Linked DNA regions of Lonchura striata. The protein of the gene in region 2 interacts with the protein of the main gene of each other region in a pairwise test. Links are inferred from orthologs where the notes say so. Each region holds a gene or a part of one and is shown on either strand. Other genes may lie near its edges. The genes, in order: LSMEM1 and LSMEM2.

Region 1 (8,025 bases), on a different chromosome or scaffold from region 2:
AAATTGTAGCTGTCACTGGGTGAAAATATTCTTGTTGCTGTGAGAAATCAAAGGCAAAAGCCTTACCAAACCAGTAAAAATGTGGGAGCCATAACTGAAACTGTGAGTAAAGAATGTCCAGAAAGTAAAATGCTTAAAGGTTTCACAGGATACTTCAGGTAACTGGTTTGAATTCTTAGGAGACGTGTCTTAAAGGAATGAACAGAAATTCTCAGGTGCCTCTATTGCCACATATGAATTTTAGTGCTTGGGAAGAGCTATGATGCTATTTGTTTAGTTGGTGTATATTGGGCATTACTAGAGACATTATCCTGCAAGAAATCACCTCATAAATCCCAACTGAAATGGAAGATAAGTTCAGGTTTCAAAGTAAATCCCTAACTAAATGCAAGGATTTTCAAGAACCTAAAGCAGAAACACTCAGCAGGGACAGCTAAATCATTATCTGATCTGCCTAAATCATGCCATTTTCAATTTTTTTCTTATATTTTTCAGTACAGCTTGGCATACCTGTTGGCCTATTAGGCTGTTGACAGCAGTGGCACACAATATGGATTGTATATTTAGAAATCCACAGATCACTTATCATACATACCTAGTGAAAGTTGGGATTCAGCTGGGCAAACATTTAGTTTGTTTAGGTTGTTTAGGGAATCAACTACATAAAGTTTTCCTTCTTCATGAGTATCAGGCAGGTTAAATTCCAAGGAAGGTCTCTCCATTGTCTCTAAAAGAAACAATAATTTAAAAGGTAAATTAACACACAGCTGTGGGAAATAACTTGTAACAGTAGGTATCCTGTTCTAAGGAAATACTGAGCAGCCCAAACGGTCCTTAAAACACAGAGATTTGGACCAGCACACTTACTTGAAGGCATAGCACTTGTTCATTCTTGGAAATCTTCAATGATTAAAACATTTCATTTTTACATTGTGTTTGTGCACATACGTGTGTGTGTGGGGAAAGAAAGAGTCAATTTGACTGGCTCCAGCATTGACTTGAATGGTACATATTTAGTATATTATCCTTTGATTTGATGAATACTTGGTAAGACGTGTTGTGAGATCCTGACCACAGTGAAAATCAAACCTTCACTAACACTTCCAGAAAGGATGTCACTCAGGTTCTCTTCTTTCAGCATCAAGTAATTGGAAGATAAACCAGAAGCAACAAGAGTATGTGTCTGTTTATACACCTTAGAATATCACTGTGAAGCTATTATTTGTGAAAAATGTGGTCACACTTTTCACAAATTTTAAAAGCTTTTTCTTCAGACTAGTACCCATTGCTTTAAAAAAGGCACTAGATTAAGTTTAATTAGTAAAAAGTTTCTCTGCAGAGTCTGGGTGCATGAACTCAGTGAATGATTCTTAACATAAATACAGTTTTGAAACAAGATTATATATAGAAAATAAGCAGTATCTAGGGAGGCAGCTTCTATATATTGCACATTGTTCCCTGTCTTTTGCTTTTCTTTACACTGCTCTGATTGCAAAATTATCTTCTAGAAACAAATTACACTTCTAGCCATAAGAAGATTTAGACACTCTAAGTAGGCATGTTTGTCTACAATTGTCACTGAAAACTCCCCTTGTAATTATTGAAGAAAAAAATATTCCTCTAGGTAATATCCCTTTTATTCTAAGATATTCCTTTCTCACCTTAGAATCACAGCCTAAATGTGCTTTTATTGCTAGTGAATGTAAGTAGGGAGCCCTGACACATTAGTTTAAATTTGGAGTACAATGCATCTTACCCATTTAGTATTTTATAAAGCCCCCAAGTTCAATTTTATCTGCCAACATAAATCAGCACTTTGTGGGATGCAAACCTCCCTTGATGACGTGTTAAGCACCTAAGGGTGATTTTTGAATCCTAGATGGGTTAACTGTCCTCTTGACATGACATGCTTCTGAGCCTTTTCTTCCTCTCCAAGGAATACAGAACACAGTGTGACCAGATTCCTAATAAAACACTAAAATTAAAAACCTAAAATTTGAACCGTTTGCAGAAAATCCTCACTCCTTCCCTCATCAAACCAAATGCAGAAGATCACTATATTTCCCCCAGATCTGAGCACACTGCAAAGCAGACATTCAATCAACCTCAGTAAGTCTGAAGACTAAGCACTGAAAGCAATACTGACAACAAGGCTTGTTCTCCTGCTAGTAGAGACTGGCAAGACTATATGGATACTTAAATATTTCTTTTTAACAGCCCATAAGAAAAGATTACAACTTACTTTTTTCTCTGTTCAGAAGCATTGCTTCAAAGTACAAAGAAAATGTAGAAAAGCTGGCATGACAGGGGTTAACCTTACCTAGTCTGTGATTTTTAGGTGTGCAACAGGAACTTCAGGACAGATAGTTGTGCCCACGGTCCTTCCCTTAGAGCAGGACATAGCACTAGGCAGCCCAGTCTGTGAGCCACGTCCCACCAGAGCTGGCTCTGCTCTGCTGTCTCCCCACATGCACATCCTCAGGCAACACAGTCACTGTGGAGCCCTGTGTTTGAACTGCATGCCAAAAGTAACCGCTTCATGCACAAAGGCTGTTGGTTATTTTTAGATTCAGAAGAGCAGTTGTTTCTCTGTTTTGATTAACACCTCCCTGCAGCTTCAGGGAACACTTCTTAACTACTTGAGCTGCAATAAATGTGAGTACCTTTGATTCATTAGTATTATGAATTCTATGTTTCTGCACTTATTATTTATTTGCACATGTAAACACAGTGAAGATTACCATTATTAATTCAAAATAGTTTATATTACATTTGTTTGATTCTATTGACATGCCAAAGGAGAAAGGATACAAACATGTGTCACTGGACAAAAGTATTGATTATTTTCCCAACAAAGCAATATAAACATTGGGACCTTTGGATTCAGTTTATCTTGTACTTTAACCTTACCTAAAGACTTTTTTCCCCAATGCAACTTTTAAATTTCATCCTAAGTCATTGTGGAAAAAAAAAAAAAACTTAGAATAAGAACACATTGAAAATTCTTCACAGGAAAAAAAAAAAAAAGTAAATGAAATATAAAAGGTTAAAAAATATGAGAATGAAACATAACTTACAACATAATTACATTCAAGTAATGTGCCAGTATGGAAGAAATCAGCCAGTGAAAATCACATGAAGAAAACTTGTTCTGCAGTTCCTCTACTTTTAGTCCCATAGGAGCCTGTCAAGTCCTGCAGTACCCATAAAGATAGCTGTGAAACAGACTGCCCCTCTCAGTCTATATTTAGAATTCATCTTGGCTAAGTATACTCACTTTGTAATATTGATCTGCTAAAACAGAAATCAGCACATACACAGCTCTTCTTTATTATATTGGAATCATGATAATATTCCATCATGAATAATGAGGGTTGTTACTGATGATCAGTATTTCACTAATCTTTTGGTTAGTGCCAAACCTCTTAGGTTTAGTGCTTGTCTAAAATGCATTTGCTAGGCAGAAGAGTAGTATCTACAACTGTAGCCATGAGTAACCAGTTTGCTATGCAGAAGAGTCATATCTACAGTATTGCAGTCATGAGGGTTTTAAAGTCATAGACTAGAAAAAGCAGGGTTGTTCCCGTTCTCCCATACACTTTATGAATTCAAGTGGGACAGTATTATGTGGTGGACTAATTTGTCTGGCATCCTTAGCTGTTCAAAGATTAAATTCTGATGAACTGGTGGTGAGTAGCGTAATTACTCCTTTGCTGACAGTTCTTTCGATCTTTTTTTTACTTGCTGACATGGCAGAAGGCAGTGTTACAGCACACTGTATTGATAGGCAGCTGACAGGCAGGACTGCAGCTCAAAACCACAAATCCTTTCTGAAGCTATACCACATCTAAAATTCTGAATCCCTTTAAATTGCCCATAAACGTATTTCTTTCTCAGGAAACAAGAGAATAAATCACCTGACTCATATTTCCCACCCTAAGCTGACATGTTCTGCTGCTCAGAATTGCTCCCTTTCTGTAGGAGTCTCCTGGAAGTCCTCCATCAAAATAAGGATGTACAAGCTAGAAAAAAAAAAAAAAATCAGTATGATATCCATGCCCAAAAAACTCCTAACACCAAAATAATTTTAAGACAAGGACCCAGGCCTCTCCAGTTGAAAACATCTGCAAACCCAAGGGATGTCTGCAGGGCTGCAGAAGAGCCACCTCTGCAACAGGACTAGAAGCCACACAGGTCACTGCAGCTGGCAGTTACAGTGTACAGGGAAAAGGGCAACCACCTGCTTGGCCCTGCCAGGGGGTGCTGCAGAACACTGGACATGAAGCCTGTGCTTGGCAAAGGACACCAAAGGTGACCAGGCAGAAGGCACAGGAGACACCAACAGGCTCAAGGGAACAGTTTAGCTCCAAGGGAATGGCCTTGGGCCAGGCAAGTACAGGCACACACAGCTTCACCTCATTCAAGGATGTTTTTTCTCCACCTGCATGACACTGATGTGCTCAATCATCATAGATTTCAGTTCAAGGTTTTGCATAGTCCAAATGATCTGTTTTGCAAGCCAAACAAGTTCTTACATAGATTATTTGAGGGGTAAAAAAAAAAGAGATTAAATTAGAAAGTACAACTTACTAGTATTCATTGACTTTCTGGAATAGGTTCAGCTGTAATCAGAAACTTGGAGGGGAAAAAAAAACCAAAACAACTACTCCACCCCAAACCCAACTTTCTCTTATCAGAGCAGGCCAGTTTTCAGGGGGCGGTGCTGTTTTTAATGCCATGTTTACATCATCTGGTGACAAACATTTTTAAGGTGGTTTATTCAAACAAGCACTTTTTTCTTCAGGTTCAGAAGCTCCACTGATATAGGTTTTAGTGTCTTTATTACATAACACCCCCTGCCCCAAGTAGCTAAGACAGTTCTCAGCTACTAACACATTTCAGTCCTGTAGAACCAGAAGAGTAGTTCCCAACATAATGAACACAGGGAATGGGTCTAAAATAAAGGAGAATATGTTTTACAGCACCAAAACTAGAAAGCTTTTGACCATTAGAGAAGCAATGACAAATCAAGATTAGGCAGCTGTGCAGACCACATGCAAGAAGAAGACACCTTTGAAACACAGCAAGGTAGACTTGCACATGGCATCTACTAAAACAGATAATACCCCAAACACATGTCTGAACCAGAAAATAAACAAACTCATCCCTTTCATATTTTAAGTTTTGCCAGTGTTACTGCTTTTCATTCATGGAATAATTACTTTTACACAGAGAGCAGGCAGTGAGAAACATCTTTATTCCAAAAATTAAATATTCAATTTCAGAACACAAAAATCTTGCTTTTATTTTACATGGAGACAAATATTTGTCATTCACTACTTCACTGTCAGTGGAAGTTCCTGAACTTCATAGTCCCTGTCAGGATAAAATTACACTTACATAGGGATTTCTTGTCTACCATCAGAGAGTTTTAAAAAATTACTAAAATAAACTTCACAGAAACATGGTCATCTTATCCTATTAGCACATTCTTACCAGAACACTTGGTCAATGAATTACTTTACCTTTATATAAAGAATCCAATCTGACACACAGCATTTGACTACAGTTATCCACCCCATTTAATATAGCAGTTACAACATAATCGACCTTTGAGCTAGTGGGGGGCTAATGTATGGTATTATAATGTATCCCTGCACCAAATGTTACATCCATCTATATACAATGTACACGCACCTAAGCAACAATATGCGTTATATTTAGAGACTATGTAACAAACCCGTGCACAACTACAAACTGACTACAGAAGTTAAAAAAATTCATTTAAATGTTACAAATTTATTTGAATTATGAAAATTGAAACCCAATGAAGAGGGAATCTAAAAAAATTCCCCCACATCTGCTCTTTTATCACGACATTTACTTCTAGCCTTTGTCCGAGCCTTGAATGCTGCAGAGTTGTACAAGTGCTACAAAACAAAAAAAAAAGAAAAAAGAATTACATATTATCATAAAGCTTATGCCCTTCAGAGATTTTTCATGTTACAAAACAAATGAAAATACCCTTTCATTAATTTGACTTGAACTGGTAGGTCTTCTGAAATTTATGGTATGTTATCTTTCCACCAAAGGCTAATTTGTGTGTGTGTATATAAATATGGACAGACATATTTAATTTATATTTACAGATACTGGCCTGAATAAGAAAGGCTGAACTATGAGTAGTTCTGGAAGCCAGTCTTTAAGATCAAGCAGATACCATGTAGGTTACATTTACTCCCAGATTAAATTTGACAGCACCATTCCCCAGATTATATGCAGGATTAATGCATTCACAATCAACAGAACAAGGCCAACCTCCTAGTGCCCATTTCACATTACAGAGTTTGGGATACCATCTTTATAAAGACTCAGTTTCCTGTAGGTCCCTCCCCAAGAGCTCTCAGAAGAGACCAAGTTTCATATGTGTGGTGCATGAATCTAGTACCCAGCAGCAACCACATCAACCTTCAGCAACCCTTGGAAAAAACACACAAGCAGAGACATGCCCACTGAAAAATCTAAGAGCTCATAGGTGCATACAAAAAAAGCTTGGTTTCACTCAGGACAATATGAGGAACTCTTAGAACTACAGCGCAACAATGACAGCTTCTGAAAGGCAGGAGTAATTAGACATGAAGTAAAGAAAATTCATTAAGATGCAATAACCTACCCTTTCAAAACGGGATATCTTCATTGTTTTAAGAGTTGCAGCATCCAGCATTACTGGTGGACCAAGCTCAAACACATTCCGAAGAAAGTCATTTGACTAAACAAGAAACACACCAAATTATTAGTTTCCCCTCTAATTATCAAGTCTCTAAAGTTGACTACTGTAAAATATCAAGTATTCCAGTAAAAAATACCAAGATTTGTGTCAAATTGCTGCTATCTTTTGCAAGTAAGTCAAGAACATGTCCTCCTTTAACTAGAATAGGGCTAAAAGCGAAAACAGACACCTTGAGAAGATAGACAGCTCCTCATGCCTCCTTTGATATTTTTGACCCAGCAAATGAGACACTGTTCTGTTCTACACAAAATCAGGCAGCTGAACAGACCTGTATGGTTTCACAACACACCAGTTTTAAAATATCTGGCTGTGAAAGTAGTACTTGAGAAAACTGAAAAACCTGCTACATGCCTGAGCTCCCTCAGTCACACAGAAATTGAATTAACACAGGGCTGAAGATTTTAACCCCATGATTATCACAGCAATTTGGGAGCATATATTCCTAAACTACAGCTCCTGCTTCTGTTACACATGTAAAGAGAAGACCAGTAAACAAGCATTTCCCACAACAGAGGAAGATGCATTCTGCCTCCTCTGGAATGCTGTCACCATTGGGTTGTGTTCATTATTTTTTACTAAAACTTTCCCTTTCTTTTACAGGCCTGAACAGGAAGGGTGGAGGTAAGCAGCTTTATAGCAGCCAGACAACTATACCACTCTGCTGAAAGAGAGCAAAGGATTCAGGGAAAACCCCAAAGCTAAAAAGATACTCAAATTTCTTATGGAGAAATCAATTAGTACACTAGCACACCCAGGCTACAACTCAGAAGCAGCTTACCCAGACAGCTGCAGCTCACTGTCATTAATTTTTTAAGTGCTGTCTTTAACACCTTAAATGCAAGGCTCATCACTTCACTAAGTTCGAGTCAGGATTTTGTAATTCAGACTGGATTACATCAAAGAAGCCAGACACAGAGGAACAGTCTGAGCAAATGTCAAAAAGCAACTCACCTGCAAATGGTATTGCATCCCCGACCCCAGAACCTCCTTGAACGTCTCATAAGTTTGTTTTTTAACCCAGCAGTCAATATACATGCGCTCAGGTCCAAACTTCACCATCTCTGTAGGGAAGTCACGCTCCTATGCAAGAATCAAAGGAAACAACACCTGTAACTTCAATTTAAATAGTCTTTTGTACTAGTAATTTTAAACATCTCAATGAACTTTATTTTGACTGATAAATTTGGCACACCAAAACCTTCCAAATAACAAAGTATACATATGCTAAAGATTGT
Region 2 (7,795 bases):
CTCCTTCCCTCTCCTTCCAGCACCTCTACAACTCAGCTGCCTTCAAAGCCCGCACGAAAGCCCGGAGCCGCGTGCGGGACAAGCGGGCAGATGTGCTGTGATGGGCAGAGGGGGGCAGAGCCCCCAGCCCACCTGGACTGCAGACCCAGCACTGTGAGGGGCAGGTGCCCCCAGCCCTCGGGCTTTTATTCTTGTACAGCAGAGTATTTAATGCCTGGAGCTGCCCCAAGGAGGGGCTGCCCCCTCTTTTATTTTTTTAACCAAAAAATAGGAAGGATAAAAGAAGAGCAGGGGGAGGTGGTGGCGTGATGCCGTGTGCCTGCTCTGTGGCTGGGGATCCATGTGGCACAGTGGGAGGGGGTCTCACCCAAGCTTCTGCAGATCCTTTCAGAGGCAGGGCTCGTGTGCACCCTCCCCAGTCCTGCAGCGGCACCAGGGTGGCCTGGCACAGTCTGAAGGGTGGGTGGGAGGGCAGAGCTGTGCAGGGCAGCAGAGTAGCTGGTCCTGGTGTCTGTGCTGTGGCAGGAGCATTCTCCCCACCTTGCCATGCTGGGTACAGCCCCTACCTCCCTAGCCAGCCTGGCATCGTGATGGTGACAGCACTGTGGAGTGGGAAGCTCTGCCCAGTCCTGCCAGCTGCCCACTCTCAGCCCTTTTCCAGCCAAATGCTTTATATGAAATAGTAATCTTGTGGGAAATTAATTATGGGGGGGGCCACTGCCCAGGCGGGCATGGGGCCATGCCAGTTGGCAGTGCCTGCCACCCTGGGAATGTATCTATCATGGTGATTTTCTAAGACTTTGATTGTAAGAGGTAATTAAAAGGCTAAATAAAGTATGCCTTCTGCCTTGTTAAGAGGAAGGGCTGTCACTGGGGCGGATGCAGGTCCTTACAGCCCAGTTTCTTTCTCTGGCATTGTGGGACAGGGTCCAGGATTGCCCCTGTGCCCCAAGGGGCAATGCTGCCAAGTCTCTGTGGGTAAAGCTGCCTGCTCCCCCCTCCTGCCCTTCGGTGCCCCTTCCCGTGGCGGCCCAGAGCCCATGGTGGGAGCAGGAGCAGCTCAGCGGTGCCCGCCAGGCTGGGCGCTGGTGTTGAGGCGAGCCCAGAGCTGCCTGCTGGCTGCCCGCAGCTGGTGCACGGCGTCCTCCTGGCTCTCGAGCCACTGGGCCAGCGCCCGCACCGACTGGCTCTGCAGGACTGCGGGGAGAGGATGGCAGCGTGCTGAGGTGGCAGGTCGGGCCCCCACAATGCCCCATCTCCCCACCCTGCCAGTGCCACGTACCGCTCAGGTAGATGGCCAGTGTGGCCAGGATCAGGCTTGACAGTGCCAGGAGCGCCAGCAGGGCCAGCAGCAGGGGGTGGCCAGGGCCGAGGCAAGGGCAGGGGCTGGCGGGGGGCACGGGGCGCAGGGTGGGCAGGAGCGGCGGGGACACAGGTGACACGGGCCGAGGTGGAGGCCGGTGCAGGCTGCTGGAGGGAGCCGGGCCATTGCCTGCAGGCAGGGGAGAGAAGGGGTCAGAGCCTGGCCACAGGCACAGCTGGGTCTTGCACAGCCCCCTGCAGTGCTCTCACCCTCTGTGCCCTTGTGCCCGCCCGAGGCCCAGTACAGGTCGCTGATGGACTCCACGGGGCGCAGGCTGATGGCTCCGGACTCACTGCTGTCGGGGTCCCCAGGCTCTGCCGGCGCAGCACCCTCAGCCCTTCCCACGCCGTCTGCTGGAACAGAGGCAAAGGGTCAGCCTGTGCCCTGCCCACAGCCCCTGCCTGCCCTGGGCACCCCTGTGGCACCAGAGCCCTGCCAGGGGGATGTCAGCCTTGGCAGCCTGGTGCTGCACCAGGGCAGGCAGCCAAGACTGGTGTTCCTTTGGGCCAGCCCTGCAGCCACAGTGGGCAAGCGCTGGCTGTGCCCCCCCTGGCCCCACTGCTGTCATCAGAGCAGTTAGCGGGTGCCTGGTGGCCACGATCCCGGAGCCTTGTTAGTGGGGCTGGAATCTGGCCCTGGCTTGGGGGCAGGAATGTGCCACCCCCCAGCCGGGATAGCCCAGGCACTGTGGGACTGACTGGGGCTCCAAGGGCCAGCTGGAAGCTGGTGGGCAGGTGCAGAGCAGTGCCAGTTTGTGGTGTGGCCCAGCTTGCCCTGCAGATACCATGCTGCTTGGGGGTGCACAGATGTAGATGTGGGGTGTATGCTGTGCCAGGGGGCCCTAGTGCCCATTGCCCTAGTGAGCACGTCACATGGGACTGGGAGGGCTTTTTGGAAGTAGGCATGCTCCAGCACTGTTTTGGGAAGCAACCATGCCTGCATTGGGTTTGAGGGAAAAGATTATTTTCTAGGTGTTTGTGTATTTTTGAGCAGTGGGCAGGGCCCACGCACTGTGCCCTTGGCAGAGCATGGCAGGCTGGCACTGTGCCCACTCCCAATCCCTCCCGGGGTCAGTGGCATGTCGCAGGGCAGCGTGGCGCCGTGCTGCTGCTGTCCAGACTGTGTGTCACCCACAGGGCTGGCAGGCACCAGGGCTGGGGGCCTCAGCTGGTACCCAGGGTCCCCTCAGACCCCTCAGACCTTCCCCACACCCCTACCTTTGGCCAGGGACTGCTCCACAGGTACCCACATCACCCCCTGCACCCACTTGCCCTAGGTGGGGGGGCACAGCTGGTCACATAGGTTTGGCGCAGGGGTCTGTACGTGCCAGCTGCCAGTGCCCTCCCAAACCCTGCTGCCCTACACCTGCAGCCTTCCAGGACCCCCTTCTTCCCTGGGCAGGCATCTCTGCCCACAGACCCCATGGCAGAGGGCACCATCTGTCCACTACTTCCATCCCAACCCCAAAGCCTTGCATCACCTGGTATCCCCTGGGGTGCTAGAGCCACCACCAGCCCCAAGCCCACTCCCCAGTGTACCTTCTGCAGCCTCCCTGGGCATGGCTCCCCGTGCCTGGGCAGTGTGAGCGGGCAGTGAGGTGGTGCAGGGCCCCCAGGAGCTGGGCACTGGGTTCCCGCTGCGCCAACTGCGCTGCTTAAAATAGGACAGTGAGAAACACGGTTGGGGGGCGATAAAAATAGCTATGGGGAGGGGGGCCTGGTGGCGTGGTCAGGGCTGCTGGCAGCACGGTGCCAGTGGCAAAGGGACAGCAGGTTGTGGCAGTGCCCCACGTCCCCTTTCCCAGAGTAAAGGGGCTGCCAGCTCATGGGATCAGGGCAGAGCCCATGCAGGAAAGCTGATGCACTGCTGGCCCCATCCAGAGCCAAACTGGGGTCTGTGCTGTCTCTCAGCAGCAATGGCAATTGTGCCCTGCATAGGGACACCACAGAATCCTTCAGCTTTGCACACAAAAACCATGCCCGCTGTGCCAGGAGAATTTATTTAGGTTAATGAGACCATAGGGAAAGCCAGCAGCAGCACTGCTGGAGTAGGGGACCATGGCGGTCCCTGGCCTTTGTCACCAGCCCCACGTGCCCTGTGGCAGGCAGGTGTCAGAGGATGTGGGATCCTTGTGCCCATAGAGGCTGTGAGCGTGGATGGGCACCTGGCAGGAGGTGGCAGGGCTGTGCCATACCCGCTGGGCACAGTCTTCACCTGCCCAGCCACGGTAGCAGTGGCAGCGGAAGGCAGCCCGTGGGCCGGCACCGGGGCCAAGGTGCAGGAGGCTGCCCAGGTCGTGGGGCTGCCGGCGCACGCAGCGCCCGTGTCCATGGCACTGCCCGTAGCTGCATTCTCGGGCTGCTGCCGTCACGTTGGCCACGTAGGGACCCAGAGTGGATACGAGGTAGTGGCGCAGGCTGGCACAGCTTTCCTGGGGAGGAAGCATGAGTGAGAAGCCCCCCAGCAACAGAGACCTGGCCAGCCCTCCCTGGTGGGCACGGGGGATATGGCCACCCTGTACACACACCATCTCCTGCTGCCTGCAGTGCTGCCATACTCACAGCTGAGCGGGAGTACGACATGTCTCCCCAGAGCACCAGCCCGGCCGCTCCCAGTGCCGCGCTCTCCCCGATGGTGTGCACCAGGTCAGCCTGCCAGGAACAGAGACGTGACCCGTCTGGGGGACACAGCCTCTGTCCCCGTGCCACCCAGAACCCCGCATCGCAGCCGCGGCCCCACAGCGCTTACCAGGTGCAGGAACCGGGAGGAGCGGCGGAAGGCGAGGCGCGAGTAGGCGACCACGGGCAGGAGGCCGTCGGGCCCGAAGGCGGCCACGCGCAGGGCCTCGCGCAGCCGGTGGTGCACGTAGCGGCGGCGCAGGGCGGGCGGCAGCGCCAGCGGCAGGTAGATGCTGGGGTAGAGGGCAGAAGAGGCAGCCCAGAGCCAGCCCAGGTGGTTGTTACGCTGCACCTCCGCCGGCTGGCACTGCCCGGTGTAGTTTGCCACCTTGGCCCAGTTGCTGTTGAGGCAGTCGGGAAAGCGGTAGAAACCCCAGAGCCCTCCAGGGCGCAGGGCTCGGCCCACCAGAAGCGTCTCCTCCATCAGAGCCTGTGCCGCCTGCTCGAACTCCAGCTGGGCCAGTCGGAGCTGCTGCCGTGCCGGCAGCACGCCGTACTGGTCCCGCACCCACTGCTCTGAGGCTGTCCGGTACATCTTTTTGGCTCCCCAGTTTTGTGCCCACAGAGGGCTCCACTCCTCCCAGTCCACCACGGCCAAGCCATGGAAAGCGGGTCGCAGGAGGAGGCGGATGTCCTCGGCCACCCTGTTGATGTGGGCGTCGAGGGAGACACGCTGAGGGAGGCCCCCGTTATGGGGCACACCGTGCTGTGACAGGTAGGGGTACAGCCCAAACTTGTTCTTGTAGAAGATGGTGATGTTCTGGCCAGCAAAGTGGCCACCCTGGTTCTCCACGATGCCGTAGTCGCTGAGGGGCAGCCCTATGCCAAAGCGGTGCTGGCAGCGCCCGGTGGGGACGTTCCACACCACGGCAAAGGGCTGGCCACCTGCCAGGGGCTTGGGTGCCGGGCTCTCCTCACTGGCTGTGCCCAGTGCCAGGCAGGACCACAGCGCCAGCACCAGCACCATCCCGCCTCACCAGTTGTTTGCGGGGCCGGCACCCTGTGAGGAAAGGAGAGCCATGGGGTGAGGCTGTGGGATGCAGTGGGCATTCCAGCAATGCAGGCACTGCCCCCCTGGCACATGGTGGACTAGGATTGGCTGGGCTGTCCTGCAAGCACATGCTGCCCACCCCAAAACCTGACAGAATTGGGTACACTTGGGGGATTGAGACCCCTACTGCCTCAGCACTGCCACTGTTACCTCTGCCTGCTGCTCTCTGGTGCTGAGATCCTGCTTGCACCACCACAGCCATGGCACAGCTCGGGAGTGGCACTGCATGCCACTGACCCTGGTGCCTCAATTTCCCTGCTGCCTCCCAGTCCTGCCTGTAGTGGAGGCACCAAGACTCCCTGGTCCCCACTTCAGCACAGTGCTGAGCCAGGCTGGGTGACCTGCTGAAGGATTGAGTCCCCCCGAAGAGGCATGGTGGGGCCAAAGGGGCAGCTCTGTCCCTCACAGCCCAGGCAGGCCCAGAGGGGTCTGGAGCCCCTGCCCAGTACTGGCCCACTGCCCAGAATGAGGGGATTAGGCAGGGAACAGGCCCAGGGCCGCGTGATACAGCAAGGACAGTGCTAATCCCTCACTGTGAGACTGGACGCTCTCTCTGACCTTCCTGCTCCCATGCCTCTGGCCTTCACTGACGCCGGTGCCTTAGTGGGGGTTTGGCCACCTGCCCCCTTCACTGTGCAGTGCAGGGGACTTGATTCTGCAGCCCCACCACCATGCCCTACTCCCACAGTGCCCCCCCAGCCATCCTGTGCCTCAGTTTCCCCAGACTGCTCAGTGAGAGCAGCTGTGGGCATGTTGGAGGCCACCACGTTCCATCAGCCCCAGGTGACACACAGCAAATCCTGAGTAGAGGAGACACTGGTGGGACTGGGCGGTGCTCCTGAGGACTAGTGCCATCCCCACAGCCTGGGGTGGGCCGGCTCCCCACCATGCTGGTGGTCCCAGAGCCCCAGCCAGGTGAGCTGGAGGCCAGGCAGGAGCAGAGGCAGCATGCCCAAGTAGGACAGGGTATGGGAACTCTGCTCATTCCCTGCCAGTACCCCCCTGCCCCAACAATGGGGCCAGGGTGAACCATGTAGACTGGGGGAGCTGGTGCCAGCCCTGAAGAATGGCAGGCAGTCAGGCAGCGCTGCGGCGGGCACCTCCCGCCCGCACTGCTTTTAATCACCGGCTCGGGGCCCCAGACCCTCAGATGTCCTTCTTCATCCAGAAGATGGGGAGCCCTTTGGCATCGCGGTGTGGGGATTCCAGGAGGCTCTGCTCGCTGCTCTCAGCCAGGACACCCCTCGCCCAGATCACAGTCGGTGGGGGAGGCGGTGGGGGGACAGTGAGGGGCGGCGGGGGAGGTGGGGGGGCAGCGGGTACCCATGGCCTGCTGGAGGGGGCAGTGGCAGCCCCAGAAGGGGCAGAGAAGAGCCGCAGCACCTCAGAGGATATAGCCGGGCTGAGAAAGGCCACGTTCTGCACCGGCTCACCCAGGACAAAGCCCAGGTGGGCATAGAAATGCTGCTTGTCGTGGGTGGTGAGGTGCAGGCAGCGAAAGCCCCGGTTCCGGGCCCACTGCTCAGTGGCCTCCATCAGCCGCCGCCCATAGCCCTGGCCCCGCAGCGCCCGGGCCACCACCACGCTCTCCACGAAGAGGTCGTGGGGACGGCTGACCACGCGGGAGAGTCGGACGTGGCCCACGAGCTCGCAGGGCCCCTCCCGGGCGGCGGGGGTCTCGCTGGGGGCCCGGCTCCGCAGCAGCAGCAGGCAGGTGGGGAAGGCGTCCGAGGAGCGCTGGAGCGTGTGGAGCCGCGACGCCCGGCTCTTCCCCCACTCCTCGCCCAGCAGCTTGGCACAGGCTTCCAGCAGCTCCGGCCTCTGGTGCAAGGGGACCAAGCTGAGCTCCTCTGACACAGAACCCATTCTTCTCACTGACGGGAAACCAAGCAGGTCACAGCTTAGAGGTAGTAAGGCACAGACCATGCGTGTGTTCTCCCCAGCCCGCCACTGGCCCCAGCACAGGCGCAGTTCCCCTCTGGCACAGCCAGATGAGTTCATGGAGGTTTGGCAGGTCCAAGGTCAAACAAGAGATTCATGGCAGGGAAATGGCAGATGGTGCCAGCTCCAGGAAATCATGCCATGAGACCTGCAGAAAGGTCTACACTGCCAAATCAGCTGAGGGGCAGGAGGCACAGTGCCTCCTCCCCAGCCCCTGCCAGTAGCTCCTGCCACTTTGGCACCCATCAGACTAGCTAGCTCATCACACATGTCCTCAGAGTCATGCTTCTGAGAAACCCAAATAGCCTCTGAGGGGTCAGAAAACCCCCTCTCTCAGCCTGGCAGTTCTTATTGCAAAGGAGAAGCCACAGGCAGAAGGCAGGAGAAACCACCACGCCGGTTGATTAACTAGGATTGAGCAAACTGCTACAGTTCCCCTAAGGCAGTTGGGGAGGGCTCGAGTCTGCCCTCCCACACCCAGGAGGCATGGTGGGGTCACCCCCCTAGCTCCAAGACAACTGACTCACAGCTCAGCCGGCACTGTCCCTTTCAGAGGCCACATCCCACCAGCACTCCTGATGGTTTCCTTCTGTCTGCCCAGCAAAGCCACGCCAGACTCCAACAGCATCTGCCTGCCATCCACCTGCCTGCACTCGCCCTGCCTTCACCCACCCATCCTGTCTGCACTCACCCTGCCCACAGTCACCCTGCTCAGTCACTGTTCACACCCGCCCTGCTCACACCTCACCCTGCTCACGCCCA

What was found.
Region 1: the proteins of LSMEM2 (region 2) and LSMEM1 interact in binary tests that used the Homo sapiens proteins (3 or more experiments, as listed by UniProt). The two-hybrid records come from large-scale screens. The link is inferred for Lonchura striata from reciprocal best matches to the Homo sapiens genes LSMEM2 and LSMEM1.

What each region holds. Positions count from the first base shown.
Region 1 is NC_134607.1:36,457,580-36,465,604, forward strand, and holds the start of LSMEM1 (leucine-rich single-pass membrane protein 1), read right to left. Parts: upstream 3,210-8,025; 5' UTR 3,078-3,209; intron 728-3,077; 5' UTR 723-727; coding exon 596-722; intron 1-595. Other genes in the region: IFRD1 (interferon-related developmental regulator 1), read right to left, coding at 5,841-5,930, 6,674-6,769, 7,742-7,870.
Region 2 is NC_134614.1:10,327,744-10,335,538, forward strand, and holds LSMEM2 (leucine-rich single-pass membrane protein 2), read right to left. Parts: upstream 2,924-7,795; coding exon 2,902-2,923; intron 1,714-2,901; coding exon 1,573-1,713; intron 1,493-1,572; coding exon 1,283-1,492; intron 1,198-1,282; coding exon 1,061-1,197; 3' UTR 746-1,060; downstream 1-745. Other genes in the region: IFRD2 (interferon-related developmental regulator 2), read left to right, coding at 21-101; HYAL3 (hyaluronidase-3), read right to left, coding at 3,441-3,794, 3,925-4,014, 4,112-5,008.